Daphnia pulex: one gene and its partner. The protein of the gene in region 1 purifies or fractionates together with the protein of each later gene. This does not show direct contact. Links are inferred from orthologs where the notes say so. Each region holds a gene or a part of one and is shown on either strand. Other genes may lie near its edges.

Region 1 (3,750 bases):
ACCAGTAATAAAATACATATCTATACATCTGTTTGCGTATCAATAGCTAGAGTAAATTCCATTCTTTCAAAACTGGGCGGGGCTGACCGCATGATCTTAACGAAGCGACCGGGAACGGACGATGACGTTAGTGACGCCGACGCAGAAGATACTATATTGCTCAAGAACAGCCAGTCTGATATGGAACGCCAAAAAGTGACAAAAAATTTAACTGCTCCAAATTATCAGTCAGTACACAAGATTTTTGAAACACCTATGTCCGTATTACAACCACATATAACAAATTACAACACAACAATAAGTATCAAATAAATAGATTCTTAATTTGGACGACTTTACGCATGAAAATATGTCCTATGGCCATTTGACGAATTACACCAATACATTTATTTGATCGAATTGTCTAAATAAGCTCCTCCCGATTAAATCTTTCGAAATAATTGTCAATTCAAAAGATAGACTCCAGAATTTGAGATATGGATATTTGTTCAGAAAGGGAGACTGTCATCTGGCAGACAGAAAAATTTATATACTTCGCTATTGGACGAAGGCTGGCAGTGAGCAGGAGTTTCTTTAAATTTTTGACGAAATTCCTTCATCCATTCCAGATTTCGAGGTAACACCTCTTCGTGAACCACCATTCGAGCAGGGTAATCTTGGCCTGTAAGGGGAAAGAGAGTATCGGATAAAAAACCTAATCTACAATACAACTTTTTATAACAGTATACGCTACACAAACCTATTATACAATTGGCAGTACGCTGAATATTAATGGGAGCCTTCCATGGCTCGTGAATATACTCGAATTCAAAGTTGGCTAACTCCGGAACGTATCTACGAATGTAGTCTCCTGATGGCTCCAGTCGCTTGCCATATAATACCGAATTGATACAGACAGAGCAATCGAGTAAGCGCTCAAAAGCTGAGCTTGACACCCACATCCAGTTGCCAGAGTTAACTGACCAGTCGGAATCTACCAGTTGATTTGCCATGTACTCGGCGCCAATGTCCCAATTGAGCCACAAATCTCCACGAGTTAGAAACATAGCTACAGCATTGCGAACGGAATGGTGCATCCATCCTGAAAAAAAAAAAAAAAAAACGGAATTTCGAAAAAAAATTCTACTTGTGCACATAAATGAAAGCATTTACCTTCTTGATTAAGTTGCCTCATCCCAGCATCAATGAAAGGATATCCGGTTTGACCATTTTTCCATTTTTCAAAAAACTCTTCGTTTTCAACCCAAGGAATTTGTAAACAGATGGGGTTATCCACTTCCTTATCGAACTTGGGATTCATCCGGCTCATGGCATAGAAGTAATCGCGCCAAATAATCTGGCCTGTAATGCCCAGCCAAGCAGGAGGGTTTCCTCGATTTACTTTATCAAAAATTTCGTGAATTTTCCAATAGAATCTGAAAATTTTTTAAAGGGATAATTATTGAAAATAAATGAAGAACTATTGAAAATAAATGAAACAAAATTAAATTTACAGCCGGACTGAGATAGCTCCCACTGAGATAGCTGCGCTCAACGATAATGGTGGACCAAGCAAATCAGGTCGAGCTTGGTTTGGCTGATAGAAGCCACTCCGGAAAGCGGTTTCTTCGGCCTGCAATCTGATGGCGAAGTGTTTTAGTGCGTTAGTTTCTCCACCAAAAATTCTTCGTCCACGACAACCAACCGGATTTTCTGGTACCCCAATTTGACTTAGAGTGGGTACTCCGCCAAATAGCTGTGTATGTCATAATTTATAGATTTAGATAAATACATAGACATCCAGTTTTTACATTTTTCTGAAAACTCACAGTAAACCTGTTGGATTCAAATGGTTCTAGGGTGAGAAATTTGACACCTTTCCATTCAGGATCAGCTACTGGTTTAGGTGGATCTCCAACTGACATTGCAACATGCTGAAAAATAAAAACATGGTAAGACGACTAAGAAATTGTACTAGTTGCTTGATTTATGTGAAACATTACCACAAACATTTCATAAGTAAGAGGTGGAGTCCCACCATTAGATGCTATAATATCCATAGGATCCCACAGAGTATGAGCAACATGTTCATAAACTTCAATATCTAATTCCGAGCAAAAATCTGAAAAGAACACATACAATTTAGATATTTGTGAAAATGTAAACATTTCTAAATCAGATCTCACTTTTTGCAGCAATGTCTCTTTCATGAAAGATAGGCTCACAATCCTGGATGAAGCAAAGTTTGTTAATGGGCTTAATATTGTGCAGGTGACGAAAAACTTCCAGCGGGCATCCTTGAAAAACATGTAGCTTGGTCCCAACACTTTTAAGACTTTCATTTAAATCTTGCAAGCATTCCAGCAAGAATCCATTCATATGGTACGGCTTGTATCCAGGATCTATATGTAAATTTATATTTAGCTAATGTTTGAATAAAACAAATTTGTATCAAAAGAATACCTTGAAATGTTGTGTCAAATACAAACAGTGCTATGAAATCCTTGGAATTTTCCAATGCAGACAGAAGTGCAGGATTGTCGTGAATCCTCAATCCTCGTCGAAACCATAATACATTCATATTGAACTATGTGTAAGCACTGCCTAAAGAAGAGTGATGAAGAGAATCCGACTACGCAGTTTGACTATCTACAAAACCGGAAAAGACGCACGGAAACCTGTTTACCTGTTTATCGAACATTGATTGAAACATCAATAATCAAGAAACCTGTGACATTTGCCGCAAAAATGGACCGGCCTCGTAAAATGTAAGGCCTGACGTGCAGAGAAAACACATGGCCTTAACTAAACTTACAAGGCCGTCAATAGAGTTTATAACCTTAGAACCCTACAGGCTAGCTACCCCATAGGAGAAACTCTAGCCAAATGCTACAGAAGTGGCCAACTTTTGTTTCTAACTCGCACCACTGCCGCTAGGTTCTCTAGGTAGTTAGTGGCCCAAATGTTCGGCGCTTAATTTGAAAACATGCCTAAACATGCCTAAACATGCCTAAGTAAAAAAAGGCTAAAGCTACAAGTCTCGCAAATCGCGAATTCTCATTCATACCATTTTTTCCATCTTTACTCGATTAAAATAATGAAAAAGGCAAGATTAACAACTCAATGGTATAATCCAGAAGAACAAAACTGAATTCATTGTAAAAGAAATTAACAATATGAAATCCTTATGAATCCTTTGAGGGAACAATTAATCAATTTAAACAAAAATCAAAAAACTTCTTAAGTTATTAGCTTTACTAGTTTGCAGGAAGGGACATCTCTGCTTTTACTTCTTCTTTGAAGGGTGGATTAGACAGCTCAGCTTGTACTTCTTCATTGACGGGTGGATTTGACATGATTGGATACAATGGATATTCAGTAGGATCAAATTTCACGGAAACCATTCGGCTGGGACGAGGACTTTGCAGGCCCTTTGCTTCTTAGGTGCAGGATTTTTCACGCTCACGACAGGCGACTTCTTAGCAGAAGAAGTTGAGGCGGCCAATTTGGCTTTCTTGTCAGTTGGAAGGTCGAATTGTTCGGGCGGTACATTATTCTTAGTAACAATATCTATTTCATCTTTTTGTGGATTGAACAAACGAAAAGATCCTGCAGCTCCATGGGCTCCCTACAAATTAAAGACAAAAATTTAAGCCAAGTGTTAACAAACCAAAGGAGAGAATTTCTCATTCAAATAACGCAACAGAAAAATAGCAAAACAGATATACTTACTTTAGTGTTAAACAGTACGCGTTGGGCGACGCCTTTCTT
Region 2 (2,848 bases), on another chromosome or scaffold:
TTTTTTTTTCTTTTTTTTTCTTTTTCATTTAGTTCTGCTTACGTGATGTACATTTTTTGGTAAACACAGTGTGCTGCCGTGATAGCCCATTGGCTATTAATGATCGCTCCTCCACAAAAATGAGACATTGTCCTTTGCCGGTCTTGTCCGCTTACGGCCAACGATAGCTGCAAGGATATTTGCCACGTCACCTCTCCTACAGTTCCCGATTAAGAACAGTGTAAAGGACAATGCATATCGGATAAAATTGACTATAAATGTGTTGGAATAAAATACCATCTCTGACTTCTTCACCGTTGACGATACGTGTTGGACGAAGTGCTGGTGCATCCGCAATGGAAGCTGTATCTACTCGTGTCGCGTAATTCCATAGGAGGAAAATGAAAATGAAACGGCACATCACGACTTGGGTTACCTGATCCTAGATTTGCAGTGGCTTGGCGGAATGTCGCCGTCTGTATAAATGTATGTGTGGATTGACTGACCAAATGAAGTTCTCTCACTGTTTTTTTTTTTTTTTTTTAGATGTATGTTTAATCATGATTGGTCGCAACGTTGAATACAAGTTCTGTTTCCCCTATTTTCTCGTTTTCATTCCCGGCAATCATGTGCACTATCGTGACGTACATCCAACATGTGGTCCGACCACATTGATAGATTCACAGCTGTTTAAATATCCTTGTCATTGCCAGTATTTTGTACGCAGCTGTTTTATCAATAACGTATTCAATGAACGTTGAACCTACCGGCGCAATTGCTGCGCAAATGACACTCGCAAATGAAATTTCGAATGCGCGGAGTTTCTTGTAAACATTTAGGCCGCTAGAGGGCTTCGCCGTTTAATCCATCCCGACTCCCGAGTTTTAGTAGATGTTTCCACTATTTCCGACGTTTAGTGAAATGAAGGTCGCAATGTTTATGTGCGCAAGCAGTGTGTGTCTGTGATTCATAGAATCATAATCATAGTTGGTTCCTGATTGCTGAATGTAGGCCTAAATTTAATCACAGTGTGTTTGTTGGGAATTGGGCAATTGGCGAATGAAAGAAAACATCCAATTACAAATGCATCTCCTGGATTTGCCGGGGGATGACGTTATTTTGAAAATCATAGATTATCTGTCACCTCAGGACTGGCTAAACTTTCGATGTGTTAGTAAACAAACCTATTTCCTAGTCCATGAATATTTCAAATATATGAAATATCTTGATCTTTCTCATCACAAAGTGTTACCACAAGCCCTATGTCAGGTTCGTTGTGGTTAGTTTTACCAACTATTAAATCATAATTTAAATTATTATTCTTAAATTACAGGTTTTACCTCAGCTATGTCACAGCCTAAAAGTTTTTAAAATATCTAATTCAAAGATATTCAATGATGAATGCATTAAGACCATCATACAAAATAATCACAATTTGAATCACCTGGACTTGTCAAATAGTAACCTTAAAAATGGAACTCTCCAGCCACTTGTGGTCAACTGTAAAGTAATTAAGTTAACTATATTAGTCAACTCCTATTGCTCTTATGTGCTCCATCACAATTGTCTAATTGGGTAACATTTGATTTCATTTCAGAAACTAGAGAAAATTTTGTTGAAGAATTGTGTTTGGTTAACTGTTGGAGCCATTGAAATTTTAGCCTTCCATTTTCCAGATACAATCAAGGTTTTGTGTCAATGAATATACAGCATATTTGAAGGTTATGATGTATACTTACTTAATACTTACAGGTAGCTGACTTTAGTGGCTGCACAGGCATAAGTGAGGCTTCAATCATCCTATTTGTAAAACGACAGCCAAAGTATCAAACATAAAAATTTAATTATGAAATAAGATGCAATATTAAAATTTGTTTCTATAATATTAACAGATTGACATCACTGTCCCTGAGTGATCTCTCTTGTCTGCAGGATGAAACATTAGTTAAGATTTCTCAGTTTTGCCCACAACTTATGTATCTTGACATAAGTAGATGTTGCAGAATCACAGACTCTGGGATCAAGTAGGTTTTAATTTTTGTAGGCCTCTGTAAAAGATTGATTTTTCAGTTGAAAATGTATTATATTTTGTTTTTAGAAAGTTTGCTGAATATTGCCACACCGTGCGCACGCTGAAGGTGGATGGTTGTGAGGTCAGCGAGCGTAGTTTGTCTTGGTTGAGATCACGTGGTGTTTGGATTGACAAACCTCAATATCCTTCTTACCTGTTGCACCGCCTGAATCAAATTCAAACCTGGCCACGGACTCAGCTGTGAAAATTCTTCAACGGGATCTTCTGTACATTCCTTCTTTTCTAAGTATTATTATTCTATAGCCCAATTACCTAGTCTCAATGTCTATAATGTAAAATGACATTTCCCCCCTTCTTTTATGTCAATGAAAAAGCGATATCTACCTCACTTGGTAGACAGCCACCGCCATTTCATTAGCTACTGTGTTAATCCTAGCACTAAGAATATCCTTCTCTAAATTTCCATTGGCGCTCTTATCGAAGTCGACTTATTCTTATCCTCTTCTTTCTCTTAATTTTTATAGTTCTTCTCCCCTAAATGGCTCTGGGGAGAAGTTTTGAAACAGCTGAGTTCTGTCATCCTTGCCCAATGTTGATTGTACAACTTCCGTGTTGGCATAATCATGAATTCTAAAATTCTAGATTTCCACCCCTATCGGACGATTACGTGTTTCGTTTTAATCGTGAATGATGAACCAGGCAGTTATTTTTAGATAATGCCGCGTTAAATTTGGGTTGGTTTTTTTCTTTCTGTCTTACAACACGTAATAATAAAGTTCTCAAATGTCCATCAAATGTCTATCTTGAGATGGGTGTGAATTTGTAACGTTTTGGGAT

What was found. The genes of interacting proteins can lie anywhere in the genome.
Region 2: the proteins of cryptochrome-1-like (region 1) and F-box/LRR-repeat protein 15-like purify together in Drosophila melanogaster (affinity purification with western blotting; 5 studies listed by BioGRID). This does not show direct contact. The link is inferred for Daphnia pulex from reciprocal best matches to the Drosophila melanogaster genes cry and jet.

What each region holds. Positions count from the first base shown.
Region 1 is NC_060023.1:8,042,330-8,046,079, forward strand, and holds cryptochrome-1-like, read right to left. Parts: upstream 2,874-3,750; 5' UTR 2,666-2,873; intron 2,629-2,665; exon of another isoform or gene 2,584-2,628; 5' UTR 2,561-2,583; coding exon 2,443-2,560; intron 2,382-2,442; coding exon 2,166-2,381; intron 2,102-2,165; coding exon 1,983-2,101; intron 1,914-1,982; coding exon 1,809-1,913; intron 1,736-1,808; coding exon 1,494-1,735; intron 1,416-1,493; coding exon 1,153-1,415; intron 1,082-1,152; coding exon 740-1,081; intron 662-739; coding exon 489-661; 3' UTR 237-488; downstream 1-236. Other genes in the region: uncharacterized protein LOC124197701, read right to left, coding at 3,371-3,607, 3,712-3,750. UniProt on the Drosophila melanogaster protein: Blue light-dependent regulator that is the input of the circadian feedback loop. Has no photolyase activity for cyclobutane pyrimidine dimers or 6-4 photoproducts.
Region 2 is NC_060021.1:8,691,609-8,694,456, reverse strand, and holds F-box/LRR-repeat protein 15-like, read left to right. Parts: upstream 1-1,062; coding exon 1,063-1,248; intron 1,249-1,312; coding exon 1,313-1,486; intron 1,487-1,576; coding exon 1,577-1,666; intron 1,667-1,731; coding exon 1,732-1,802; intron 1,803-1,871; coding exon 1,872-2,003; intron 2,004-2,077; coding exon 2,078-2,255; downstream 2,256-2,848. Other genes in the region: trypsin-1-like, read right to left, coding at 43-196, 277-400.